7 linked regions of the Mus musculus genome follow. The main gene of each other region encodes a partner of the protein of the gene in region 4 in a complex. Links are inferred from orthologs where the notes say so. Each region holds a gene or a part of one and is shown on either strand. Other genes may lie near its edges. The genes, in order: Rrn3, Taf1c, Polr1c, Ubtf, Taf1b, Polr2f and Polr1b.

Evidence for each region.
Region 1: Ubtf (region 4) and Rrn3 share a complex: the UniProt entries of both Homo sapiens proteins name them as parts of the pol I pre-initiation complex. The link is inferred for Mus musculus from reciprocal best matches to the Homo sapiens genes UBTF and RRN3.
Region 2: Ubtf (region 4) and Taf1c share a complex: the UniProt entries of both Homo sapiens proteins name them as parts of the pol I pre-initiation complex. The link is inferred for Mus musculus from reciprocal best matches to the Homo sapiens genes UBTF and TAF1C.
Region 3: Ubtf (region 4) and Polr1c share a complex: the UniProt entries of both Homo sapiens proteins name them as parts of the pol I pre-initiation complex. The link is inferred for Mus musculus from reciprocal best matches to the Homo sapiens genes UBTF and POLR1C.
Region 5: Ubtf (region 4) and Taf1b share a complex: the UniProt entries of both Homo sapiens proteins name them as parts of the pol I pre-initiation complex. The link is inferred for Mus musculus from reciprocal best matches to the Homo sapiens genes UBTF and TAF1B.
Region 6: Ubtf (region 4) and Polr2f share a complex: the UniProt entries of both Homo sapiens proteins name them as parts of the pol I pre-initiation complex. The link is inferred for Mus musculus from reciprocal best matches to the Homo sapiens genes UBTF and POLR2F.
Region 7: Ubtf (region 4) and Polr1b share a complex: the UniProt entries of both Homo sapiens proteins name them as parts of the pol I pre-initiation complex. The link is inferred for Mus musculus from reciprocal best matches to the Homo sapiens genes UBTF and POLR1B.

The regions. Positions count from the first base shown.
Region 1 is NC_000082.6:13,804,692-13,808,244, reverse strand, and holds part of Rrn3 (RNA polymerase I-specific transcription initiation factor RRN3), read right to left. Parts: intron 3,297-3,553; coding exon 3,166-3,296; intron 1,687-3,165; coding exon 1,502-1,686; intron 1-1,501. UniProt on the Homo sapiens protein: Required for efficient transcription initiation by RNA polymerase I (Pol I). Required for the formation of the competent pre-initiation complex (PIC).
Region 2 is NC_000074.6:119,602,354-119,606,575, forward strand, and holds the start of Taf1c (TATA box-binding protein-associated factor RNA polymerase I subunit C), read right to left. Parts: upstream 2,854-4,222; 5' UTR 2,782-2,853; intron 2,026-2,781; 5' UTR 2,025-2,025; coding exon 1,887-2,024; intron 1,113-1,886; coding exon 1,028-1,112; intron 895-1,027; coding exon 797-894; intron 727-796; coding exon 637-726; intron 552-636; coding exon 478-551; exon of another isoform or gene 405-477; intron 294-404; exon of another isoform or gene 1-293. UniProt on the Homo sapiens protein: Component of the transcription factor SL1/TIF-IB complex, which is involved in the assembly of the PIC (pre-initiation complex) during RNA polymerase I-dependent transcription.
Region 3 is NC_000083.6:46,245,221-46,249,439, forward strand, and holds the start of Polr1c (DNA-directed RNA polymerases I and III subunit RPAC1), read right to left. Parts: upstream 2,826-4,219; 5' UTR 2,744-2,825; coding exon 2,675-2,743; intron 2,581-2,674; coding exon 2,509-2,580; intron 995-2,508; coding exon 887-994; intron 529-886; coding exon 396-528; intron 1-395. Other genes in the region: protein YIPF3, read left to right, coding at 3,028-3,108, 3,621-3,818, 3,959-4,065. UniProt on the Homo sapiens protein: DNA-dependent RNA polymerase catalyzes the transcription of DNA into RNA using the four ribonucleoside triphosphates as substrates.
Region 4 is NC_000077.6:102,316,296-102,320,604, reverse strand, and holds the start of Ubtf (nucleolar transcription factor 1), read left to right. Parts: upstream 1-1,508; 5' UTR 1,509-1,757; intron 1,758-2,549; exon of another isoform or gene 2,550-3,023; intron 3,024-3,317; exon of another isoform or gene 3,318-3,431; intron 3,432-3,899; exon of another isoform or gene 3,900-4,131; 5' UTR 4,132-4,198; coding exon 4,199-4,256; intron 4,257-4,309. UniProt on the Homo sapiens protein: Recognizes the ribosomal RNA gene promoter and activates transcription mediated by RNA polymerase I (Pol I) through cooperative interactions with the transcription factor SL1/TIF-IB complex.
Region 5 is NC_000078.6:24,554,034-24,557,586, reverse strand, and holds part of Taf1b (TATA box-binding protein-associated factor RNA polymerase I subunit B), read right to left. Parts: intron 1,598-3,553; coding exon 1,527-1,597; intron 1,069-1,526; coding exon 846-1,068; intron 1-845. UniProt on the Homo sapiens protein: Component of RNA polymerase I core factor complex that acts as a GTF2B/TFIIB-like factor and plays a key role in multiple steps during transcription initiation such as pre-initiation complex (PIC) assembly and postpolymerase recruitment events in polymerase I (Pol I) transcription.
Region 6 is NC_000081.6:79,144,300-79,147,852, forward strand, and holds part of Polr2f (DNA-directed RNA polymerases I, II, and III subunit RPABC2), read left to right. Parts: intron 1-294; coding exon 295-364; intron 365-1,753; coding exon 1,754-1,884; intron 1,885-3,553. UniProt on the Homo sapiens protein: DNA-dependent RNA polymerase catalyzes the transcription of DNA into RNA using the four ribonucleoside triphosphates as substrates.
Region 7 is NC_000068.7:129,103,949-129,107,501, forward strand, and holds part of Polr1b (DNA-directed RNA polymerase I subunit RPA2), read left to right. Parts: intron 1-1,300; coding exon 1,301-1,433; intron 1,434-3,553. UniProt on the Homo sapiens protein: Catalytic core component of RNA polymerase I (Pol I), a DNA-dependent RNA polymerase which synthesizes ribosomal RNA precursors using the four ribonucleoside triphosphates as substrates.

The sequences.
Region 1 (3,553 bases), on a different chromosome or scaffold from region 4:
GGAGAGTTGGCCCAGTAGTTATGAGCAAAAGACTGAGTTCCAAGCTCAGTACTGTCTGTGGCTCCAATCTCAGGGGTTTGATGCCCTCTTATGACCTCCATGGGCACCAGGCACACATATGATGCACAGACATACATGCAAGCAAAATATCCATACACATAAAAATAAAGCTAATAAACCTAATATATTAATAAATTATATTATATATGTATGTATACATACACACACATGTATGTATATATGTATGTATTCCAAAATCACATAAACAAAGCCAGGTATGGCACACAACTATAATCTCAGACCTTGGGAAGCTTAGGCAAGGCAGCACACACAAATACACACAGACACAAATAGACATAGTGTGTGTGTCTCTCTCTCTTACACACACACACACATACACACACAAGAGGCCACGTGCATGTTGGCCCATGCCCTAGGACAAGGGTTCTCAGCCTTGCGTCATGACCCTGTTGAAGGGCCAATTGACCCTTTCACAGGAGCCATCTAAGATTGTTGGAAAACACAGATATTTACTTTACGATTCATTACAGTAGCAAAATTACGGTTATGATGTAAATAATGAAAATATTTTTGTGGCTGGGTCACCACAACATGAACTGTATTAAAGGGCAGCAGCATTAAGAAGATCCACTGGCCTAGGGGGATGTTGTCCTGGGGCAAAACAAGGCCATGATGCAGTGCAGCAGGATGAACTCAAGTAAGTGGAGTCGAAGGCACTGCTCGCTCAAGCTCCAAGTGCAGCAGCTAAACAGTGCATAAACAGCAGCGGAAGGAATAAACACTGTTCACCCTTGAAGTGAACCCAGAACTCCGTTCTAGGTTCATGACGTCAGATGCTCCGCGGTGACACCGGCCCTCAACTCCCTCACACATTTAAAAATAAGCATGACCGCTGTCAACAGAGTGACCCATAGAGGATAACGCCTTGGGGAACTGTGAGAAAGGCTCCAGGAAAAAAAGCAGAGGGCCTTTCATCTCAGGTGCGTTGTCCCCTGGATTGCTCTAGGAGATAACTCTGAACCTCTTGTGACAAACATTTACATTCAATTTATAAGACAGGTTTATTCTTGTTGGATGTGGGAACATAGCTGTAGAACCCAATCTGGTCAGTGGACCATGATCTGAATATGACCTCCTGCTTTGCTTTTGTTTCCCAGATATAAGCTATGGTACACGCCAAGCAGGGCTGCTCTGTCTGTTAGCATTTATTTGCATGTTTTTCTGATCATGTGTTTCTGAACTCAGGCAACCATCCTTGGTTCGCTGCTCTCTGTGTTACCCTCCTGTATAAAGCACACTGAAACGGAAGGGAGGCTGTCTGCATTAGACTAGACCCCACCCATTCTCTCAGGTCCTCAGATCCCAGGTCTCGAAGACAACACCTGCACAGGTCGATGGAAGTCACAAACTCAAGACCAGTAGCAGTGCCCTAAAGGTATAAGTACAATAAGAAAACCCAGCCTGAACCCTCACAACTGACCTTGCTTCAAGTTTCCACTCAAAAGCTGCTTGTGTCTAAAAACAACAGTGTAGAACACAGCTTGGCAGGCTGAATAAAATGGTCCATGGAGTGCAACGTCACAAAAAGCCTTTGTTCCCGAATCCTGGTTAGTAAGGTACATGTGCAGCCAGTTAACCAAGAGATCCAGGCATGTCTTCACAGTGCTAGAAAGAGAAAACAGTCAGGGTTATTGCTTTTATCAGAAAGCTAGAGACAGAAACACACACCTGTCTTTCACTATCCATTAGAGAAGGCTCAAATACTACCTATGGGCTGGGGTGTAGCTCACTGGCAGGCAACTGCTTAACATGCATGAGGTCTTAGGGTCCATCCCCATCACAAAAAAGAAATAAATCAATAAAGTAATAATAATAATAAACAAAAAATATAGGCAAACAAAAAACTCACCAAAACCCTTACCCACTAGCAGAGCAAAGCAGAAGGAAAAGGAAGGTGGCAGGAAGTTGCCTTCAGATTTTTTGTTGTGGTTTTCCATTTGTTTTTGGACAGGGTTTTTCTGTGTCGCCCTGGCTGTCCTTGACCTCAGAGATCCACCTGCCTCGGCCTCCCAAGTGCTGGGGTTAAAGGATGCCTTCCAATTTTAAGGTGAAGCAGTGCTAACTTTTGTAGAGCAAGAGGCCTTAGGGCCTGATTTGCAGAGCAAGACTTTGTTTCAGAAAAACACAATGAAACAAAACAAAACAAAACAAAACAAAACAAAACAAAAAAACCCAGGATGCAGCTCAGTTTTTCCAACTCAGCTGGGGTTTCCTGGGTCAGCTCCTAACCCACTGGGTTTGTGGCTAAGGATCTCAGCTTCTTCTGGTCACAGACTTTCAGTTGACTGGGGATGGGTTAACAGCATCTCTCTGAAAGACAGCTTCTGGAGCCTCCTGAAGAAACTGGCCTCCATCCCACATCTAATTACCTTAAAAAGGGTTTTCCTCAGGACAAACAGACACAAGGGACTTGGAAAGCAAGTGAAAAATGACAAACCTACAAAAAGAATCAAAACAATCTACAACACCATGCTATCCATGAAGACAGACAGGCTCAGGAACAACACATGAACGCATGCTTTCTAAAAGCCTCATGTACTTCTTCCAAAATGGAGCCCTCCCTGCCTCAAGCTGCTTCTTAGAAATAAAGACAGACGGGCTGGAGAGACGGCTCAGCGATTAAGAGCATCAACTGTTCTTCCGAAGGTCCTGAGTTCAAATCCCAGCAACCACATGGTGACCCACAATCATCTGTAACAAGATCTGACTCCCTCTTCTGGTGTGTCTGAAGACAGCTACAGTGTACTTACATATAATAAATACATCTTTAAAAAAGAAAGGCATCTTGCATTGTAGTGATCAGATTTCCCCCTTGCTTTACAAAGACAGACCAAAAGTATAAAGTCAATTTCTCTGACTAAGATATTAAAAAGCATTTGGAGAGGAGGGCTGAAGAGATGGCTCTGCGGTTAATAGCACTAACTGCTCTTACAGAGGTCCTAAGTTCAATTCCCAGCAACCATGGAATCGGATGCCCTCTTCTGGTGTGTCTGAAGAGAGCAACAGTGTACTCGCATAAAATAAATAAGTACATCTTTAAACAACAACAACAACAAAAGGCTTTGAGAAAATTAGGTTACTTACATAAGAGGAATAAATTTAGCTCTGGCCAAAAAGCTCCCAATATAATTTGCAGCAGCCTGCCTGATGATGGCGGGGTTATTTGGATCCTGCAACTTTTTCCAGAGATGTTCCAAAAATGCTTCTGCAAATCCCTGTAACAAGAGAGAGCGCTCGCTTGATCTTTCTAATGCTGAAGATCTTCTAGCTCTTAGCACCTAACACTGTAGTTACACACTGCTAACACAAAGGGGCAGCCGTGGTTCTTACTGAAGCCAACCCCGGCAGACTGAGCTCTCCCCCCACCCATCCCTTGTGTCAGTCCCTGCTCCCCAGGCCTCAGCAGGGTGACAGGGACTGCTTGGCCTCTCCTACTATCTCTCCAGCCACATGCCCAGCCCTTAACAGAACC
Region 2 (4,222 bases), on a different chromosome or scaffold from region 4:
AAATGGTAGAGATCCTCGGGGAGGTCAGGGGCAAGGCCTTTGGACTTGAGGATTCTCAAGATTTTATTTCCAGTCACAAAACGGACCTGGGCCACCCCGTGTGAGTCCCTCAGGATTACACCTATCTGGGAGGGAGTCAGGCCTTTCTTGGGCAATTTGTAAATCTTTTCCTTCACGTCGTCAGACGTCAACTTCAGCCACGTGGGGACGCTACGGCGGTAGGGCAGCGCCGACTGGGACAGGCCCTTCCCGGGAGCGTGCATGCGACCCATGATGGTGGAGGTCTGGCAGCCCACGCCTAAGGTTTACCAATGACCAATCTGCTTTTCCCTTACGCTGCCGGGGATTTTGTGAACTCATGGCTCAGGACTGTGTGGGGCTGGAAAAGCCACTATGACGAAAACCTGGTCAGTGTCCCAGGTCCTTCCACATCTCACGGCAGGCCAGTCCATGGCTGCTCTCTCATTGGCTACTTGCCCCCAGGGTTGGTGTCCGCCGAGGTCCTGAAGCAGCTTCTTCGCGCTGACTATAGTCATCTTTTTCGAGTAGCCCTGCAGGGAAGGGCTGTCAGGTTGGTACCCTTGGGTCTCACCAGGGAGGCGGCTGACCATCCACCCGGTGGTGGCGGCTCCTTACCCGGTTCCCCTCCAATCTGAAGTTCTCCAGCATGAGTCTCCCCAGGGGTGCGAAGGCTATGTCCCCATGGTCCCACAGGAAGCGGCTGAGCTGGAGGGAACAGCTGTGTGAGTCAGCATAGCACAGGCGCTGAGAACCAGTCTCACCCAGGGACACTTACCTGCTCAGTGACATCCAGCACAGCCTGAGACTGGTACTGGTAGCAGTGACCTCCCCGGAAAAGGAAGTCCTGAGCTGTCACACCAGGGTCCCAGGGATCTAAGGGGAGAAGGAGATCAGAGAAGAACCTGAGAAGGAATGGGGACAGGATACCCCTGGAGGTCTGAGGTTCCCCTTGTGCGTGTGATGGCTGAGGTCCTTGGAGGGGGCCCAAAAGGAGAGAGACTCTTACCAGGATCAGGAGGCATCAGGAGGGGGAGGGGTCCTGGCGTCGATGGCTCCCACAGTAGGTTCTTGGCAAAGGACAAGGTCGGATCCTAGGGAAACGGGGCAGCAATAACATGACAGGTGTGCAATCCCTGCCAATTAACTAACTCAGTCCTCGGGACAAATGTGAAAAGGTGGTCACTTCGCTAATGAGGAACCCTGAAGCATGAGGCTGCCGCCCTAGGTGACAGAAGCAACAAACAGGCATGGACTTGAACCCAGGCAACCGACTCCAGAGTCTGAACTGAATTCTAAACTTCATTCACAGCAGCTTTCAAAGGAAGCGCCTAAGTCATGACTGCCTACCCACAACCCAATGAGCTCCAACTTCCTCAGCTATCTCCTCTGAGTCCTGCCATTCAGTGGGCACCCTTGTCCCAAGGACCAAGAACTCCCCTCCCCCAACACCCTCTCTTTGACATGCTCTCCTCAATGTACTCAATACAAGGCTGCTAGAGATGGACCTCCCAAGAGCAGAAATCCTGCCCCTGGCATTCCACTAATTCAGGCAAGTCAAGGCCACACTATAAAAGGTCTGCCCGTTGGTGTACAGTCTCTCACCATAACTGGAAGTCCCTTAGGTGGGGTTGCCTGACTTCCTCATGCTGGGCTCCTGGGCCTGTAAGGACCCCAACACATAAACACCTGCTGAACCCAGGGAGAGGGAGCGAGGAAAGAGGAGCCACAGCCTCTGTTGAGAGACACTGTCTGGACAGCAGGGCAACCGGTGCGCAGCTCAAGTAGCAGCTGCCTAGACCTCTTTTCCCAATAAGTGAGCAAGGAGGAGGAACAGACCAAGGAAAGGACCCTATTTCCATCCTCACCTTGCAGTTCTGTGGCTGGGACCCTGGCAGGGTCAGTGCATCTCTCCAGCTGCACATGAAGGACAGGTCAGGGCCATCAGTCATGCCAAGTGGACCGGCCTTAAACAATGAAGGGCGCAGGGTGCCAGGGAAGTCCATCCTGGAGAGAATGTATCTAACGTTACACACGCCTTCATTAGGAGTCTCAACAGTGCACCAGGGTTCTCAGAACACAGTAGGGGAGACCACTACAAGGTAGCAGATAAAGACCAGACTATGCCTAATGCCAGCGCGTCAGCAGGGCTGCCCAAGGACTGCTCACTCTCTTGAGGGCAGCCAGACAGATATCTCTGCTCACACCTTGGAAGAGGGGCTGGGGAGAAAGTGATCGCAAAAGGCCTCGTGGCAGGTAAAGTGCCAAAGAGATAAGCAACCACAGAATATACAAAGGGGAGAGTGTGGAGGACCAAGTGATGCCGATGAAGGCTGAGCGTTCATCAACGCGCTGCGCATGACAGTAGCAGGCTGACTTTCTTCCACCCCTCTGTGGACATGGGCTGCGTACTATTCCTGCTTCCCCACTGCCAAACACAGGCTTCTCCGAAAATGCCCGTGGGCTGAATAAATGCAGGAACTCTTTAGAAGCAGTAACTGTCAAGTCAGCCCTCATTTTTAGTAAAAATTAAATCTAACATCCGCAATAAGAGCACCAGCAGAGCACTAGTACCCGCTGGACAAGACGTGAAGGCGCTGAATTTAGAGTCTGAACTGAAAACCGGTGTGTAGTAACCACAAGTGTTCCCGGACCGCCCTCCCTCGTGGCCAGCATCTAGGACGAGCCTCAGCGCTGTAATCGACCAGTCTCTATAGCCACGTGGTCTGCCACGTGCTCTCAGCATTCCCGCAACAGCCTCACCTGACCCCGGGGCCGCAAAGGAGCCAGAGTGCCGAACCTCAACGCCGCCACCCACAACTGTTGGAGCAGACTAAACTGTTTTCCGGATCAGGCCGGAAGTTCGCCCGAGAAACAGGAAGTCCCGCCCCCAGATCATCTAACCGAGTCCTCCAGCGCCACCTGCAGAGCTGAGGGCCAATATGCATGGTCGTGGCGCCTAAGCTATGAAATTTCCATCCTATTTCACAAAAGTGTTGAGAAGCTTGAATTGATCCTCTCAACGAACAAGTGAGCACCTCCGATGAGCCACGCACTGTATTTATTACCCACAAGTCCTAGAATCCGCTTCATAGACACCTCTGGGTGCATGTGTGGCTTTAACAGGGGCCAGGAGGGAATATTAGCTTGTCATTCTCAAGCTAATATTCCTTGTGTGTGCACCTGCGAGTTTTGGGGGATCTGTTCAAACTCGCTCGCATGCAGCGAGTCCTGGGCTCTGCCTGTAAGTTGCCTTGGTCCTGACACTATCGCGTAAAACTTAGGACGCGTGGCTCTGCTGACCACTTGCTTTCCATCGCCTGGAGGCTAAGAATATCTTCAGATAGAATCGAGACAAGGAACAGATTCTCCTGCGTCACTGCAACCTACCTACATGACATTCCCGCCAATGTGTTTGACGACTTCTTTGGGTTTGACTTTCCTTTGTCCTGTAATTATCAGAACTTCATAAATCGGTCTTCATGGTGGAGCAAGTTATTCAGGGAGAAAAATCTGTGTTCCTGAGTTTATTAAGGGATCTCTAAAGGAACAGAACTGATTGAATGAGTATGGAATAGAGGAGATTTTATTAGACCGGCTTACAGGCTGTGATCTGCGTAGTTCAATAATAGCTGTCTTATGACAGAAATGGCAAGGAGAATTTGGTACTGTTCCGTCCACGAGGCTGGTTGTCTCAGCAGTTCTGATCTGGTGCTGTAGTCCTGGGCCATTCCTAAAGAGCCGCCGAGCTTCAGTCTCTGTTGGAATCCTAAAGAAATTGATTTGAATACTGAAAGGAAAACTTCAGCAATGCCATAAAATAAATGGTTTTGCCGGTGAGGGTGAGGTCCAGCAGGCACAAATCATGGTTTCTTTTTCCATTTCTTTTATCTGGGCTGCCACCAGAAGGTGATTTAGGATGGCTCTTCCTCCTTCAAATAATCTGATTAAGAAAATCCCTCACAGGGCTGGAGAGATGGCTCAGCGGTTAAGAGCACTGACAGCTCTTCCCAAAGTCCTGAGTTCAAATTCCAGCAACCACATGGTGGCTCACAACCATCTGTAATGGGGTTTGATGCCCTCTACTGGTGCCTCTGAAGACAGCTACAGTGTACTTGCATATAATAAATAAATAAATAATTTTTTTTAAACTTCCTCACAAGTGTGCCCAGCAGTTTGGGTCCCAGTTAATTTCAAATATTCA
Region 3 (4,219 bases), on a different chromosome or scaffold from region 4:
GCTCTGCAGACCAGGCTGGCCTTGAACTCAGGACACATCTGCCTGCCTCTGCCAGTGCTTGGAGTAAAGCTGTCCACCACCGTGCCTGGCCATATCAACTCTAATACCAGGCTGACAAGAAGGCTCACAGAGTGAGGGTGCATGCTTGCTCCAACCTGAAGACCCAAGTTCAATCCCCAGGAAGAATGTAAAGGTGGAGAGAGCCTGAGTGCTGCTAGCGCTGTGTTCCGAGGGTGTACACAGTGAGACTAGAGGTGGGGTGGGGACAGCTGTTCTCCCAGGCGAAGGCAGATGTACAAGATGCCAACTAAAGCCCCAGCAGTAGGCCTGGGACCTGAGCCCATGCATTCCAGGTCAGTTCTGCCTAACTCATAATCCCAAGCTCTCAGCCTCACCTTGGTTCCGATATTCAAAGAGACGAGGATCAGCGAGGATGGGGATGAGCCCCAGGCGGTGAGCAAGGATCTCATCCTGGACTATGGACGTGTTGTTATACACCAAGACCTTCTCCACGGCCATTGTCGGCACCTGCCCAAGGAGGCAAAGCAGACAACTGACCTCCACCCATCCCCCTGCCTGGAAAAGGAAGAGGCAGCACTTTTTCATTTTGCCCTTCAGATTCTTTTTTTTTTTTTTGGTTTTTTGAGACAGGGTTTCTCTGTATAGCCCTGGCTGGCCTGGAACTCAGAGATCCACCTGCCTCTGCCTCCCGAGTGCTGGGGTGCTGGGACTAAAGGCGTGTGGCTCAGATTCTTGATACAATGTTTACTATGTAGCCCAGACTGTCATAGGTGTGAACCACCCTACCTGCCCCAGAGGGATGGCTTTGAGAAAAGCGTCTACAAATTGATACAATTTCTACCCTCCAGCCCACGTCCTCTAATACCTCAGCTAACAGGATTCTCCGGAAAGCATTGGCGATGGCAGCATCAATCCCCACCATGTCGAACTCCAGCGTGTCTTCATCCATTTGCACCACGTCCACACGGAAATTCTAGAAGGAGGGAAGCTCCTGCATGACTCCTGCCTGGCTCCTACCCTGCACTATCCCCTCACCCTAAAGTCATGGTGCTCAGTAGACATTTTGTCTCCAGTCCTGTTCTTGGGGGCAAGGCTGTGTGTTTCTTGTTTTTTAGGTTTTTCCAAGGCCAGGTTTCTCCATGTAGTCCTGGCTGTCCTGGAACTCTGTAGACCAGGCTGGCCTCAAACTCAAAAGATCCACCTACCTCTGCCTACCAAGTACTGGGATTAAAGGTGTGCGCCACTATGCCCAATCTTCCCAGATTTTCCACAAACCACCCAGAGAAGTTACTATACAAAAAGCAGAACTTCCCACACTACTTAGACCGTTTGATACTTGCATGTCTGTTGTCGTTATTTTTTAATACCTACTTTTCTCAACTACATTCCCTTGGATTTTGAACACCAATTTCCTTATCTGCTCTTCTTTCTAAATTTCCCCTTCCACCCACACAGTAAACGTTCCTGTCTCCTAGGTTCTAATCCCCTGGCTGACCTCCACCATGCTCCTGGCTCAAGCAAGCACATAGACTTCACAAGCAGGCACCTGAGTGTACCCTCATTCTTGTTCTCCTGCTTGGCAAACGACACAGCCAGCAACAGTTCCCCAGTGCCACTGGAGAAATGGCTCAGCTATTAAGAGCACTTAACTGCCCTTGCAGAAGAACTGGGTTTGGTTCCCAGCACCTGGTGGGACCTAACATTCTCCTCACACTGCAGGGATCACTAACACACAGTGGTGCACAAATACACATGCAGGCAAACACGCATATCAAGAAAGTTTTAGGGTCCTCAAGTTACAAAGTCCTTTCTCTCACACACTGCCTCCCCAGAGCACTGGTGCAAATCGTCTAGTTCTCCCTGCCTTACTCCGTTAGTACTGTCTGGAGTTCATCTATGCCCCCAATTTCAGCCTGCATACACTAGCTGGCAGATTCACCAGAATTCATTCCCTCCTGGCTATCAAGATTGCAAAATGTTATCAGTCTACTCAAAAATTCTAAATTGGGCGTGGTGGCTCATGCCTTTAATCCCAGTGCATGGGAGGCAGAGACAGAAGCAGGTAGATGGCTGAGTTCAAGTCCAGCCTGGACTATAGAGAGAGTGCCAGGGCTAAACAGAAACAGTTTCAAAGTGAATTTTAAAAAAATCATATATAATGAAGCTCCAATCAGGCCTTCACTACTCAACTTTTATTCATAGTTCAAAGCTTAATTCAAATGCCATTCCCTTCACTGACCTTTAACTACGTCCCTTCAGTTAGCTGGATTCAGTGCATCAATGATTCCTGACCATATCCCAGCCATCTTCACCGCTATCTTACTATTCTGGAATAACTTGTCTGTGTGGTCCATTATCCCACCGAGAGCAACCACCGTGTCTGACCCGTCCATGGAGCTCAAGCGTGTTGTATGGAAACAGCGACCCCCACCCCAACCTGCGAGGTCTGGCCCCTCGGGCCGACTGGGCACCTTCAGCTCTACCCACCTTCTCGAAGCGGTTCTGGTCCCAGGCATCATCATAACCGGCGTAGTTACCGGGAAAGTCCGTGGTGTGGACCTAGAGCCAACAGAAAGGGCAGTGTGGCCAGCCTTCACACCAGGCCTCTACTTCCCCGTGCCGCCCTCATCCTTCCCGCGCCCCGATCTCTTACATTGCGAACCCCAAACTCTCCGAGAACCACGCGAGTCCGCATCTCCTCCACCGCCTGAGCCGCCGCCATCTTCCGCCACTCGCTGTAAAAGGAGGCGAGTCCGCGCCTGCGTCTCCGCAGCAACGCTCGGGCTCCCGCAATCTTGAATGTCGCGAGATCTTGCCCCGCCTCTGTCCACGTCCTTCACTTCCGGACGTCAAGTGGGGCCAAACATCCGGGTTTCTCCCTTCGGCGTCCCGGCGGATCCCCACCTTGCCCGGGCGGTCGCCCCTCTGAACCTCTCCCTCCCTCGGACCCGGGTCGCACGCTCTTCCCACGCGCGCGTGCTCCAGCGACGGGAAGCCTCGAGGGACATGGCGACTCCGGCGGCGCCGGCCAGCGGCGTCCGAAATGGTGCTGGCCCGGAATGGGGAGGCTTCGAAGAAAACATCCAGGTATGGAGCGCGCCTGCTGCCAGCAGCCCCGGGCTGGCGGCGTCCGGACGGTGGCTGCTGTTCTCTCTCGCGGGGCCTAGAGGTCGGCTCCGCTGAAACGCAGCCTGTCCCCTTTGAGTCTTCCCGGGGAAGGGTGTAGCTCTTGTGCTGGCGTGAAAGGGACAAACTAGGGCTCCCGCGGGCCTCGGCTCTCTGTGGGGGCTGGAGGCTAGGATCCACTGGCACCCCCTAAAAATAGGCTTGTTTGAGAATTGGGAATGGCAGATGGGCTCTTTTGCAACTCTTTGGAGCTTTGAGGTGGAAAGTAGGAAAACAACGTGGATTGAAAATAAATAGTAGGGTTTCCAGGACCACAAAAGTGACGCGACCAAGAGTTGCCACCACTGAAAGAGTGGCAGTTCCAAGCCATGTCCTCGGCAGTGGAAGATCAAAGCCTCAAGTTGTCAGCTGAGCGGAGAACGGGGAGGATGCAATGGAAGGGCCCCTCACTCTCCGAGCCGTTGTCTTCACAGGGTGGGGGTTCGGCTGTGATTGATATGGAGAACATGGACGATACCTCAGGCTCCAGCTTCGAGGACATGGGTGAGCTGCACCAGCGCCTGCGGGAGGAAGAAGTAGATGCTGATGCAGCTGCTGCAGAAGAAGAGGATGGGGAGTTTCTTGGCATGAAAGGCTTTAAAGGACAACTGAGCCGGCAGGTAGCAGATCAGGTAAGCCAATGGGGAAAAAAAAAAGGACCTATGCATGTCCTAAATTGATCGAGGTTTTCCACTTAGACCCACACGTAAATCTCGCCGAGACTGAATAACAATCTAGAGCCAAGAGTCTCATCATACCCATTTCCCTTCAGATGTGGCAGGCAGGGAAGAGACAGGCTTCCAGGGCCTTCAGCTTGTATGCCAACATTGACATCCTCAGACCCTACTTTGATGTGGAGCCTGCCCAGGTCCGAAGCAGGTGAGGCGCCTTCTCTGAGACATCTGTCCTCACATCTAGACCCTCATCCAGACTTCACTCAGACTCAGAGCCCTGAGCTCTGGTGGACTCCCCTACTTGCAACCCCATTACTGAACTGAACATGTTGTGAATACTTGGTGAAAGGTACAGTTGG
Region 4 (4,309 bases):
GAACCGATGGCAGTGGGAGGTTAAAAAGCGGCACACGCCCAGGCCTTTTCTCCCCAGACTTGCTGGATGGTGGAATACGGGAGGTTAGATCTGTGGTTGCCGGGCTGCTCAAATCCTGCCTTAAACCGGGGTGCGGAGCTCTCTTGTGGGCTCCCCGTCGTCGCCGGGGTGGGGGGACAGCGCCCGCGGCCTGCTTTCTCAGGGCTGGCCAAGCCTTTTTGACAAGCTGATTGCGAGAAGGGGATTGGCTGATCCAGGCGTGACGCCGGTAACAACAAAGGTGGAGTTGGAAGAAATTAGATTAAAGGAAAGGAGGAGAAAAAAAAAAAATTAAAGGGGGAGCTTGCAGGCAACTGGAAGCAGAGACCGAGGGGGAGACGCACGAAGCTCCGTTCCCGGTTCCGACTTCCCCCTTCCAGCTCTTTCGCACAAACGCGCTGGGATTTTGCTCTAAACCCCTACCCCGGTCGCGGCCTAGTTACTGAAGCCCAGGGTAAAGGGATGGCCGTTCCGCTGCTTCTTGAAAAACCTCCCCAACTCCCACTGACACCCTACTACGACACAGGGGTGAACTTTTTGTTCTTAACTCCTCGGATCATACGGCCGGTGAAGATGGGGGACATCGAGAACAACCCAAGACTGGCTCTGAAATCCGGAAGGCCCTCGCCGGGCACCGAGACCCAAACGAGGCGGGGTACTTCCCGGGTATTTTCATACGTTGCAAACCTAGGAGGCTTTTTTTTTTCCCTTTTTCTTTTTTGTAACATTCCCCTTCGCCCCCATCCCGCTTTAGCTTCAGGGTTGCAAAAGCAAAGCAATAAAAAAAAAAAAAAAAAGAGAGAGAGAGAAAACCTGCGCACACAGACACACACCAGTGGCGACAGGGGAGAGTTGGAAAAACGCAGGAGAGGAGGAGGCAGGAGACAGCAAGGATGGAGCAATGGGAGAGGGAGCAGGCAGGATCCCTCACAGATCCCCCTCCGGCCTCAAGCTGCCTTGCCCGCCCCGACAGGAGAGCGAGGAGTCGGGCAAGCAGATGGAGTGGAGCTCGCTCTAGGCAGCTGGCTTGGCCGGAGACTGGAGGAGCCGCCAAGCGACCGGCTGATTGGAAGAGAAACGCAGAGCGATGGAGGCGGGGGTAGGAGGACGATTTCTCTGCGGGGACTGGCGGCGGCGTACACGCCCGGGTCGGGCGCTGCAGAGCTTGGCTAGCTTTCAACCCGCGCTCGGCGGCTCCAGCCCCGCGCACCCCCGCCCCCAGCCCTGCCGGAGGCCCCGCAGGTGAGTGGGAGCTGGGAGCCAAAAAAGAGCTAAATGTCGAAAAACATCTGCCTTGGAAAAAAAAAAAAAAGCAAAAAACATTTTTTTTTTTTTTTTTTACTATTCCTTTTTTTAAAATTTCGTGCAGCCCCCGAGCGGTGGGAGGGAAGGGGTGAGGCTGAGCCGCCCGGAGGAGGCGGAGGGGCCAGGCGAGGCCGGGGCGGCCCGGGAGGCGGCGGCGCCAAGGCGGCTCTGACGGGCGAGCGCTCGGAGCGGCGCTGCGCTGCGCTGCGCCGAGGCGGGCGGGCGGGCGGGCGGAGCGGGGCGGGCGGAGCGCGGCGCGTGGGGCTCGCCATTAGCCGTCGCTCCGCTTCGCCATCTCGGGCTTTGTCTGGAGACTCGCTGCCCGGGCGCCGGCAGCTGCGGAGCTGCGGCTCGGCTCTTCCGCTTGCCGTGCTGCCTGGCGCCCCCGGCCCTCACTAGCACCCACTTGCTCGGTAAGTAAGCCTCGGTGCCGCGGATTTCGGGGGAAAGGGGTTGCTCTCTGGCGGCGCCAATCTCCGTCCTCCACGCGCCCGGGAAGGCCTGGATAGCCATGCCGGGCTGGATTGAACCGGCTCCCAGAGTGACTCTTCCGCTGGGGTCGGCAGCTCCTGGCCGATTCCCGGGTGTGAGGAGGGACGGGAGAGGTTTTTGTTGTTTAGGGGACTAAGAATATATATTTTAAGTTTCACGGGTGTTCTGCGGAGCATAAGGGAACCGAGAGGTAGGCGCCGAAACCTCGCACCGCGATCCGGGAGCGTGAGTCCCAAGCCGGTAGCCACGCTCCGGGGACCAGGGTGGTCGCTAGCCCGCTCCCGGAGGCGGGAGAGAGGAGCAGATGAGGACTAGGCCGGGAAACCGAGCTTAAGCTGGGAGAGCCTGGAAGAGAGCTCCAGAGCAGGGTTGCCGGCACCCGCGAGGCTCGCCGGCCACCCTCTCCACCGCCGCACCTCGGCCCTCCCTTCCTCCCGCGCCGGCCAAGCCTGCTAGTTCCCCCGCGGGGCTGGCGAGGTCGCTTTAGCCGCCCGCTTGCTCGCCCGCCTCGGCTCGCAGCCCCGCCGCCATCCGGGCGGCTGCGTGTCTTCCCTGTCCCGGCCCCCCCCTTCCCCGGCGGCAGCAACAGCAGCAGCCGCCGCCGCCACTACCACCACCCCCCTCCCCTCCTTCCTTGCCTCCGCCTCGGCCGCCCGGGTCCCCCCAGCGCCCGCCCCTCCTCCCAGCTGCCCCCCGCGGAGCCCGCCCGGGCAGGCTGTGGGAGGGAGCGGAGCCGGCGAGGCGGGCGGGCTGGCGCTCGCTCCCCGGGGGTCGGTGTGCGCTCTACGGGGAAGGACGCGCTCGCTGCCCCGCTTCTCCCGCCCCCCCTCCCGCTCCTCCTCCTCCCTTCTCCCTCCTCCCCGCTCCGGCGGCGGAGGCTGCTGCGGCGGCGGGGGGTGTGCGAGCTGAGGCCGGGGCCGGCGGGCGGGCGGGCGGGCTGCCTGCAGGCGGAGGGCGCTGTGCTTTGTGCTTTTCGCCGCGAGGAGCAGCAGGCAGCAGCCACAGCCGCCGCCGCCACAGCAGCAGCAGCAGCCGCCGCCCCAGCGCCGCCGCCGCGCCCGGAGGAGGAGCCGCTGCCGCCGCGGGAGGGAGTTGCGGCTGTGCCCGGCCGAGCGGGGGAGGGCGCCGCGCTCAGAGCCGAGAAGGGAGCCGCCGGAGCGGGGAGCTCAGAGGCCGCGCTGCGCCGGGTAACCGAGGCGGCGGAGGACGTGCGCCGGGGCCGGGGCTAGGGAGCGAGCCGCGGCTGCGGTAGACGCCGAGTGGCGATACCGGGAGAACTGTAGACAAGATGATCAGGGAACGGGGAAGGGCGCCGTGAGCCGGGGGTAGGAAGGGCAGGAAGCGAGGCCCAAGTGAGGCCCCGGGTGGAGGAGCCCGCGTTTCTCCGGCCGACAGGCGCAGTTCTCGCCGGCCGCCGGAGGGGGCGGCGGGGCCGGTGAGCGAAGCGCCCCCGCCTCGCGGCCGCCGTCCTCCCGCCCTCTGCTTGGCTCGGCTCCCCGGAGGCCGGGGCGGGGGCGCCGGCAGGGCTGGGCCGCAGGCTCGGGGAGGAGGCGGCCGTTCCCGCCGCGGTCGCGCCTCTGCGCCGGGTTTCTTCCGTGCGTGTTGGGGTGGCTGGGTGGTGGCGGCGGCGTCTCCGGCCCCGGGTGGTTCGGGGACGGGGGACAAGCTAGGCCGCTTCTCCGACTGCTCGCCTGCCCGGACAGGCGGGGACCGCGTTGGGAGGTCGGGAGGGGGGTAGCAGCGGGAATCCAGATCTAGTCCCCGGGGGCGGTCCGGCCGCTGCGCTCCCGGGCTGGCGGCGGCTGCGCGGCGTCCGGGTCCCCGCCGGGTTGCGGAGGCGGGGGGAACCGGCCGGGGAAAAGCGGGAGGAGGAGACTGAGGCGCGTGCCCGCTTCCATGCCCGCGCGCGCCCTTTACCCGCCCTTCCTCCCCCGCCCTCCAGCCTGGGGCCTCCCCGGGGCGGGCGCTCACCGAGGAGGAGGAGGAGGAGAATTTTTTTTTTTTTTTTTTGCCCGGGTGGGGGAAGGAGGCCGGAGGGCGGGAGCTAGCTGCACGCGGGAGCTGGGAGCAGTCTCTCGCGTGGGCAGGGGAGGGCGCATGCGGCACCGCCTGGCTCTGGGGGCTGGGGTAGAGAAGAGTGGGGCTCACTCCTGCACCCACTGATGAAGTCTATGAGCCTCCTGTTCGGGTCTCGCTGAGAGTGTGGACCTATGCCCCCTCCCATGTGTGAGGGGGTGGGATAGAAAGCCCCCCTCCTCTCAGCCTCCTTAAGTGGGTTTGGTGTCTCTTCAAAAGGGTGAGGTGGCTTTGACCCCGGGTGGCCCGGCCAGCGCGACCGAGGAGGTGGCTGGACAGCTGGAGAATGAACGGAGAAGCGGACTGTCCCACAGACCTGGAAATGGCCGCCCCCAAAGGCCAAGGTATGGGTCCCCAGCTTCTCTTTTCAAACTTGTCTTTTTTCACACACGAGCTC
Region 5 (3,553 bases), on a different chromosome or scaffold from region 4:
TTTTAGGAATGAAAAATCCCACAGTCACCACTTACACTAAACAAGCATAATTCCTAATTACACTTAAACGTATGTCCTTATGCCCACAGGTGAGTGTACTCCTCCTCCTCCTCTTCCACCTTCTCCTCCTCCTCCTCTTCCTCCTCCTCCTCCTCCTCATCATCATTAAGGAAATTTCTCTTTGCAACAGATGGAGACTATTACAGAAAGTCACAACCAATCAAACTGCAGAGGTGTGGAGCCCAGTCCTAATGGACATATCCACAAGGCACTCTGACGCCTGAGGCTCAGGGCACATAGCAGAGGAGGACAGGGATTGGAGGAAGCAGAGGACCAGGATTTTGCTGTGACACTGTATCTCCTAATGTCAGAAGTGACACACATAATGCCTCACACACATGGCTGCCTAAACCAGAACTGAACAAGGACAATGACAACAGAGATGCCTAAGCGGACAGGGAACCCATGAGGCCTCAGGCAGCTGAGGAAGGGGAGAGTAGACTTCCCCAAGGAAAAGCCTGAGCACTGCTTATTCAACAGCAAATGGTCAGCTCTGAAAACACACAACAAATAATATTATACAGACTGAGCAGGGTCTATTTATTTAAGTATTATGACAAATGTATGTATACACATGCATGTAAGCAACAATTAATGGAAAAAGAAACAAGATAGTGCATTTGAAAGAGACCAAGAGGTATATGGAAGGGTTTGGAGGGAAGAAAGGAAGATGGGAAATGGTGTAATTATATTATAACCTCAAAAAGGAAGAGAAAGGACCTCTTCAGCCTGAGTTGGAGATTTTATCACACCTCAGGCTTTTGGAGTTTTAAAAACATGCGTACCTTTTGCAGAACTTCTGGGTACTGAGCCAATACAGGGAGTTCTTGGTTATCATGGACTGGCCTTTCATTATCAGGAGTCCCTGGAGGCTGTGTCCATGGAAACAAGGGCTATCAGTGCCTTCTTCAGTCCAGTTGAACTGAAAACTTGAAGGGGCCTGCTTTTCAACCACGGGTGATGAACCAACCAGGGCACTAAATTGTTTTTGAAGATTCTCCACCATTTCTGGAGATGGAGGGAAGAGAAAAATGTTACTGCACAAGGAAAGCCAGCAGTCACGGGAATGGATTGCTTTAGGGGGGACACTCCGGGGCCTCCTCCCTCCCTTAGCCTCCTGAGTGCACACACACACAGCTGGTTTCCTAACTGCAGGAACATACGTCAGAGCATTAGGTGAGGCTGGAGCTGCAGGAGGGGCTCAGACAGTTACTTAACGAGGGCTTCCTGACAGAGCTCTCACAGTCACGGAAACAGGACCTTGGTCTTGCAGGGAAACTGAGCTCTCTATGAAGGAGCAGGCAAGTTTCCAGGACTTTTATGTGACTTCCCCTTTGGCAGGAGATATACTCGAGAGCATCCCCAGGGAGTGGAAAGTATGTGCATGCCCTTGCTTTTCCTGTGGACATGGTTGGCACTCCCAACAGTGCTGCTACATGGCACAGAAATGAAACCATCAGACTCACTTCTTCTCTTATATGCGACGGACTTATCGATGTGTGAACGGTAGAGTGGCCTTTTGGTTTTCCAAGCATACCTGTACAAGGCAGAACAGAGGTGAAGCAGAGTGAGAAGCAGGTGCTCAGAGCTCTGAGACAGGCAGGACCTGACACTCAGCAGCTCTGGGTGCTTGTCTACACTCTCTCAGTACTTCTGCTCCAGAAGGAAACACCCAGAGAGAGCAGAGCATCAGTGTGCCCCTCCTAGGAGTCAAGGACCCTTTAGGAGCCATTATCCAGAACACAGCAGAGAAGGCTGCCATCACCGTGTGGCACTCCTTTGCTCTTTACTCTCATTGCTGTTTCTCTTTGCCGCAAACGCTGATAACTGAGGGCTGTGCCCTCTGATTCTAGAAACCCATACAAAATAGAAGGTGAGTACCTGTCTCTCTGGTACCCAATGCCTGGAAACCACCCTCTTCCTGCTGAAAATAAGAAGGAAAGATCCAGATTCTAGCAAGACAGACCTAAGAATCTGATCTTTTGAGAGAGGGCCAGTTAGGCATGTTCACTGCAGAGGGGGTGCTGGGATGATCTGGTCCACAGGGTACCCCCCTCCCACTCCCCACCAAAGGTTAAGTGCTATCTGGCTTCCTGCGATTGACTGGTGACCATTTCTGGTCCAGGCAGCCATCAGTACTGCCCAGCAGAGGATGCCACTGTGGAACAACATAATTCGATGTTTTCAAAGCTCATTTCTATTCTCCTGCACTTCCTTAAATAGGAGCCTTCCAGAAACCACAGTAAAAAAAAAATAATCCACCTTCTTGATCCAGGCTACTAAAAAATGAGTAATAAAGACAGCATGGTGCAGAAGAAGACACTGAGTCAGAGGATCTGCTCAACTTCTGCATGTGTTCAGCAGCCTGAGTGACTATGAAGGTCCTGGAACTGTCTCTGTCTCCTTTATCCTCTCTAGGGCACACAGTAGGCATTCAACTTAAGGGTTTTTGTTGTTGTTGTTGTTTGTTTATCTTTGTAGAATTACATCATTTTAATGCCTCTATGCCTCTCATAAGATGTGGGGTCAAGGTTTTCCCATTCATGTTTACATTCCTCAATACCCACTATGGCTATATATTCTTTTTTCTTCTCATTAGTTTACTTATTCATTTACTTCGCACCCTGATCACAGCCCTCCTCCGAGGCCCCCCTCACTCGTCCCTCCCCCATCTTCTCTCTCCTTCATCTCTGAGAAGAGGGACCCCTGCTCCCCCGGTACAAACAATCTTGGCACCTCAAGTACATCCTCTCCCACTGAGGCCAGACAAGGTGGCCAGTCCAGTTAGGGGAACAGATCCACGGGCAGGCAATAGAGTCAGGGTAAGCCAAGTCAGTTGTTGGGGGACCCACATGACTACCAAGGTGAACATCTGCTACATATGTGCCGAGGGCCTAGGACTGGCCCTTGTATGCTCTTTGGCTGGTGGCTCAGTCTCTGGGGTCCCCAAGGATCCAGGTTAATTGACTCTGTTGGTCTTCTTTTAGAGTCCCTGTCCTCTCTAGGTTCCTTGTTAATAATAGATGGGATGGCACACAGTAGGCATTCAACTTAAGTATTCATTAATAATGGACTAGATGAATACATGAGCCAACAAACACATTTAGCATCTGTGCCCTGTTTCCTGCTCTTACAGGGCAGTTATGAGGACTAATTTACATCGTATTTGTGAGGCTTGCAATAGTGGTGACACATGCCTTTTATTCCAGTACTCGGAATGCAGAGACAAGTGCCAGGCCAGCCAGAGCTACATGGTGAGACTATATCTTTTTTTTTTTTCCGAGACAGGGTTTTTCTGTGTAGCCCTGGCTGTCCTAGAACTCACTTTGTAGACCAGGCTGGCCTCGAACTCAGAAATCCGCCTGCCTCTGCCTCCCAAATCCTGGGATTAAAGGCCATCATCTAAAAAAAAAAAAAAAAAAAATACAGTTGTGCTGCTCTGTGCTGCAGAGAGTGGTGGTACAGCCTGAGCTACACAGTGAACTGAGGCCAG
Region 6 (3,553 bases), on a different chromosome or scaffold from region 4:
GTGTACATTTACATACACAAACACACAGATAAAATAAACCTTAAACACACAGTCCCCGGACCAGAACAGTCCATGTGTACATGTAACTGGCGTGGTTCACAGAGAAGGAAACCACAGTGAAGGTGTCCTAGCAAACTGTGGGGACACATGGCACATGATTGGAGGCACAGAGTGACCCTCCAGAGTTTGGTTCCCTTGTTGAGATTTGCCGGCCCCTTGTCCGACACTGCTGAGACATGGGCTGTATCTCTGGTTCTGGCCGGTGATGCTCTAACCACCAGTTTCTTCTGGCAGTTTCGACGGCGACGACTTTGATGACGTTGAGGAGGACGAAGGACTTGACGACTTGGAAAATGCTGAGGAGGTCAGTAGCCAGCCTCGGCCTCTGCCCTGCAGCCCGGACAAGGGACGGGCAGCGTTCACCAAGGGCTTTCCCTGTTCACTTTCCAGGAATGCAATTCCATGGATCTGCTCCGGGCCTTTGTCTGAGTGCCACCTCAACTAGGTCTTGGGATAATCGTGTCGTCTTATGTATGGTTTGGTGGTGGTGGATCTTAGTATAGAGCCTGGAACTTACTATTTAAGCCAGACTGGCTTGTAGCTCACGAGAAATCAGCCTTCCTCTGCCACCTGAGTGCTAGGATTAAAGGCACAGGTAGAAGTAACTTTGGTCCGTTTTATTCACTACTGTATCCTAAATACGGTTCAGCATGTAGTAAGCACACAGCAAACAATTACTTTTTTTTTTTTATGTATTTTTATGCATGTGCACGTGTGCTGTATGCAGGCGCACTTACCTGTGCAATGCATGTGGAGGTCAGAGGTCATCCTCTCTCCTTCTCCATCTTATTTTTCAAGACAGGGTCTCTCTAAACTTGAGGCTCAGTGCTTCAATTAGGCTGTCAGCCAGCAAGCCCCAGAAACCCTTCTGACTCTACCACTAGTTCTGTGGCTATGCCTGTAGCACACTGCTACAGACCCAGACTTCTACATGGAGGCTAAGACCCAAATTTAGGTTCTCCAGTTTAGGTAGCAAGCAGGTTACTCTATGAGGCAAACCCTAACCCTTAAGTCTTGGTTTTAGAATCATGTAAACGGATCATGAGCTGCGCAGTTCTCTGGCAGCCGCCATTGCTATCAGAAACTCTTTGCTTTGTGTCAGATCACCATTATTCCTGTGTGCGTTTGTGCATGCGTGCTGCAGGGGATGAAACCCATGGTCTCGTGTGTTCTCTCTCTCTCTCTCTCTCTCTCTCTCTCTCTCTCTCTCTCTCTCTCTCTCTCTCTCTCTCTCTCTCTCGCCTAAATAGAGCAGAGGACAGCAGGTTCTTGCTCAGTATGTGTTTGACTCTCATTTACCATGACTGTTCTAGTCACCTGACCCAGTGACTCATTTGCCATATGAAAGAGCAGGTGTTTGTCCTGAGCTTCCGGTTCAGGGTGTGCTCACCACTTACAGGGCCAGCTGTTTGGGCAAGGCGGCTGGCTCTAGAGTTCTGAACACCGTCATCTTTACTGCTAGCTTGGAGGTTTTGGTCAGGTTGGCTGACTCTTGAAGCCCCTGGATTGGGGACCACAATCCTTACCTTACAAGGTTGCATGCGGTTAAGGATTGCGTGGTGTCAGTGAGTGGTTGCACGGTCCATGACATCCAGAAAGGGTTGAGGGTGGTGGGAAGTCTCTGTGTCATCATCGTCCTACCTGATCCAAAACTTGCCCTGAGATTTCCCCTCTTTGTTTGCTTGCTATCCAGGAGGGCCAGGAAAATGTCGAGATTCTCCCATCTGGTGAGCGACCACAGGCCAACCAGAAGCGGATCACCACTCCTTACATGACCAAGTATGAGCGGGCCCGGGTGCTGGGCACCCGGGCTCTTCAGATCGCGTAAGTGCTGCCCTTTGGCCGTCGTGTCTGTCAGTTCACCACAGTGAGCCCAAGCTGCTGGTCCTGCCCAGCCCTGGTGTGTCAGGACTTGTGCAGTGCTTTAGGGCACCTGTGGGAAAATGTAAGAAGTGACATGAGAAGTGACAGTAAGAACCCTGGTCAGCCGGGCGTGGTGGCGCACGCCTTTAATCCCAGCACTCGGGAGGCAGGGGCAGGCGGGTTTCTGAGTTCAAGGCCAGCCTGGTCTACAAAGTGAGTTTTAGGACAGCCAGGGCTATACAGAGAAACCGTGTCTCGAAAAACAAAAAACAAACAACAACAAAACAAACAAACAAAAAAGACACAGGAGGATCATGGGTTCACGGGCCTACCTGGACTACCGAGTGAGTTCTAGGCTAGTCTGGGCAACTAGCAAGACGCTGCCCCAAGATAAAGAATGAAAAGAGGTCTGGGGTGGAGCCCAGTACATGTGATTACCTGAGTTCAGAGAATTCCTGTCAGTTGGTCAAACAAAATAAGAGTGAATTCAGGCAAGGCTGCAACAGCTCCTTCTAGCTTACGCTGATGGGAGGGAGGCTGGCCAGCCCAGCCCAGTAAGCAGGCCCCTCACTTGGGAAAGTCTGGAGCAACGGTGGCTCTGGGCGCTAGGAAACTGAAGAGCATGTTGTTTTTCTAAATTTGGATGGCCGGCCAGTGAGCTCAGCCCATCCAGAGGAGGCAGGGTGTTAGTGGAACTCTAGTGGGAGACCCAAGCCTAAGGGAAACTGTTGGTATGGGGCGCGTGGGTGCTGCAGGATGGACTAGGGAGAAGGAAAAACACAGCAACAGCAGAACATTCTCCCATGGGGCTGGGGAGGCCTGCATAGGGCTGTGAGCATCCCTACCACGGGTTCATACAGCCCTGGGTAAAGTTGACTGCAGTGTCTGCCTCGGTAAAGGGTCTTATGTACAGTCAAGGTTGACCTCAGCCATCCTCAGCTATAGACCTTTCTTCAGCCTGGCTGCACTCTTGGCTCCTTGAGTAAAGCCACCTTCAGGGGGATATGTGGTCCTAGTGGCCTAAGGATAGTCTCTGTTATGGCACTCATTGGCTACATGTGGCCATTAAATCAGCCCTGTGAGGCAGTGCACACCTTTAACCCCAGCACTCAGGAACCAGAGGTGTGTTGATCTCTGTGACTCCAAGGCCAACCTGGTCTACATAAGGAGTTCCAGGAGAGCCTTGACTACACAGTGAGGCACCATCTCAAAAACAATAACAGTAAACCCCAAACAACCACCACTACAACAAAAAACACCTACCCAAACAAAGGAAAAGAAAGCACGCACACATACATACACACACACACCAATACTAGAGATACCTCAGATGCTCAGGGGCCTGTCTGTGGCTCCCAGTTAGCACGGGGACATCACAGGTACAAGACATTTCCAGTTTGCTGAGTGTTCTGGGACACATGTTCCTTTAGCTAAGATTGCCCTGTAGCAGGAAGCCTTCATTGTGCAAATCTAGCAGTGCTCACCACTGCACCTGTCGAGGATGCAGAGGTGATGAAGACATCACCTCTAGCTCCCCAGGGAGCTTCTGATGTAAAGGCAGTGTGGGCAGTGCCCTGCAAAGGATACAGAAAAGCAGGCGCCTCGCGGAGGGGCTAGAGCTAGGAGGCAG
Region 7 (3,553 bases), on a different chromosome or scaffold from region 4:
ATGCGAGGGGTCATGCTGTATAGCCGTGGCTGGCCTGAAACTCACTGTGTGGATCAACTCACAGAGATCCACTTTAATGCACGTCGTCCACCCCACCCTGGGATTAAAGGTGTATACACCCAAGCCTGGCTATGTCATTATTGTGGGTGGCCAAGGGAGGTGGGGAGGGGGGTCAGTTTAGTCACTTGGTATCCTCTGACCACATGTAGAGGTCAGAGGATCAGAGGACAGCACGCCAGGTGTTGGTCAGGGCGTGGACTCAGGTTGTCAGGCTCCACAGCAAATTCCTTTACCTGCGGAGCCATGTTTCTGGTCCTAGGTTTCCGAGTTATCCATAGACATATTTACATGAATACTGAACCACCGAAGCATTGTAGAAGCTGCCTGCAAAGCTCCCTGAGCTGACTGGGTGGTTCCTGTACACTTTCCTCCGTTTTAGCTGCGAAGGTAGCTGTGGGCTATTGAGGTGAAGGAAGGAAGATGCAACAAACTCTGCATATTCCTAAGAAGACTGTCAGGCCTTGGGAAGAAGGTGTGGGTGTCAAATCAGGATGTGACACTCAGCCTCCCTGTTTGCCAGTTGTGGGGCTTTGGAGAATTTAAGTCACCCTAAGCCTCCATTTCTTCTAGTGAAGCAGGCCTACCTATCACTAGTGAGGCAGGCATACCTATCACTAGTGAGGCAGGCCTACCTATCACTAGTGAGGCAGGCATACCTATCACTAGTGAGGCAGGCCTACCTATCACTAGTGAGGCAGGCCTACCTATCACTAGTGAAGCAGGCGTACCTAGAAGAACCATGTGCTTCGTTCACAGAGCTGCAGCGGGGGTGTCTGTTTGATAGCAGACTGTTAGTATATACTCTTTTTTTCTTTATCGTTAAACGTATTTTCCTAAATTTGTCTGGTCCGGATTTGTAGTTAGCAGAGCTCTTGGGTAGTCAACCTCTTCCTTTGTCATTATTTTCTTAGCTTACCCGGGAGCCCATTTGAAAGCAAAAGTGGTTAGTATTTTTATCTTTAGATTTTTGGAGCAAGTTTTATTTGTTTAAATTAGGAATTGAAATAAGTTGGGACAGAAAGAAAAGTGTTACTGAGCCGTCTGGTTGGAAGGGACGGCCCTGTCTTCCTGACATCCTGTTCTCTGTGTCTATTGGATCACACTCGTGTATTTGACAAGACTTACCCTGGAGCTTGTTCTGTTTCCAGAGCCCGGCACGTGCCTCTCCTGAGGGTTGCACTTTGTTGGCAAGAAATACTGTGTCTAGTTGTTTAACAGCTGACAACCATGTCTTTGGCAGGAAATGGGCGGTTATTTTATAATCAATGGCATAGAAAAAGTCATCCGCATGTTGATTGTGCCCCGGAGAAATTTCCCCATCGCCATGGTAAGGCCGAAATGGAAAAGCAGAGGACTCGGCTACACTCAGTTTGGTGAGTCTTAGTGAACGTCAGAATGTTGCTTTAGACAACCTGAAAACCATTAACAGCTCTACAAAATAGTTGTGTTTCCCTTACATTATTTTTGTTTTTCCATTAAGCACTTCTATGATGTTCAGGGTGAAGGTTGGGGGGGGGGGGGAGTGTTGATCCATGTGTAAACTTTAAGTTACAGGCTAAGGACAGGGCTGGGAAGTGGCTCAGTGGGAAAGCATGGGGAATTTGGTTTGGGTCCCCATCACCCACATTTAAAAACAGCAGAGGGGCATAGCAGTGCTCATCTCTGATCCTAGCACTGGAGGGGAGAGAACAGGAGCCCCAGGCAGGGGCTACAGCTAATTTAGCCAAGGTAGAAAGTTTGAGGGTTCAGTGAAGACCCTGTCTCAAAAAAGCAAAGCGGAGAAGCGAGTGAGGAAGACCCCTGTGCCTGAGTGGGAGAATAACAGCCCCCCACATGTGAACGAACACACACATACTTGAATACAATCTAGTGCTAGTGTACAGCACTGGGACTGTAGTTAATGATACTGTTTTGCTTTTGAAATTTAAAAATTAAGATTTTTAAGTGTCTGGTCCCACATGTACAGACATGCACAGTTGGTGACTATATGTGGTAATTGATATTTTCATCAGTTTGATTATGGCCATTGCTATGCATGTTTCTCAGCTAGCAGGGTTCTGTCTTCATAAGCCTGGAGTAAATTGAAAGCAGAGTGCTTTAAAAATGCACTTAAAGGGGCTGGAGAGATAGCAGTTTCAGAGCTTGTAATCTTCAGAGAACCTTAGTTCAATTCACAGCATCCATGTCTGACAGCTCTAATTTTATTTATATATATATATATATATATTTTTTTTTTTTCTTTTTTTAATGCACTTAGAGCCAGGCACGATGGGGCACACCTTTAATCCCAGCCCTAGGGAGGCAGAGGCAGGTGGATCTCTGAGTTCAAGGCCAGCCTCGTCTACATTGTGAGTTCCAGTACAGGACCGTCAGTGTTTCATTAATAGACCCTATCTGGGGTGGGGTGGGGTGGGGGTGGGGATAATGTTCTTAGAGGCAGGGACTGGTTTGGTGGTAGATAGCTTGTCTGACCTGCAGAAGTTTCTGGGTTCATTACTTGACACCGCACACATAATAATGCACTCAGTACACTGACCTGCACACATAGTAGCTTAGCTTAGCAAGCCCAGATGTGATTAGAACAGTTATTAATACAGCAGCATACACTTTGAAAAACTCGACTAAAGCAAAGCCTGTTTTATGAGCGAGTGTCGATGAAAAACTCGACTAAAGCAAAGCCTGTTTTATGAGCGAGTGTCGATGCTCTTGTGCTCGCACACAGATTGGCTTTTTGTACATGTGGCGAGCCTGTGTAAACACTGTTCGAAACACTGGCGACCCCGGAGCCTGAAGAGTGTCAGCTGGTTTTCTTTTCCATCTCTGCGCTGGTTGGGAGCTTTGGCTCAGCGCTGCTGTCCAGCATCCTGAGAAAATACACAGCACTGTTAACCTAGGAGCAGGTCTCAGTTCAGAAGTGAACTGTGGTTTCTCCTGAGTGGATCATGGTTAGTTGGCACCATTGTATATGTGTATAAATTGGCGCCCTTTGTATATGTGCATCAAATTGCTTTACTATATATATGCTGTTTACTAAGAAAACTTGAGATATAACCCAGAGAGTGATTTCATAATGAAAATCCTTTGTATATTTTTCATCTGGAAGATTCCATATATTTATGGTGTTGTTTTTGAAGACGAAGGCTAGCCTGACTGAGTACCTGTGAACAAAGGCCTCAGAGGCCCCCTGGTTCAGGCTGCCTTGGCATAACCTCAAGGGGGACTAGTCTGTGTTCAAATGCTGCCTGTGACAGTGCCTGGCACCATAAGATAGCATATGGCATTCTCTATAAAACTTTTATATTACATATATAAAATTTATTTTTATAGTTGAGATAATAATCATCCTGTAATTGTTACCATAGATACAACACCTAGGAGAGCAGCATCTCAGAATGTCAAAACATGTAGCCACTGGTCCTTTTGGTCTGATAAAGTATCTATAAACCTGAACTCTTGAGTTCTGCTGTTCTCCATCAAGATGTTAGATAAGCAA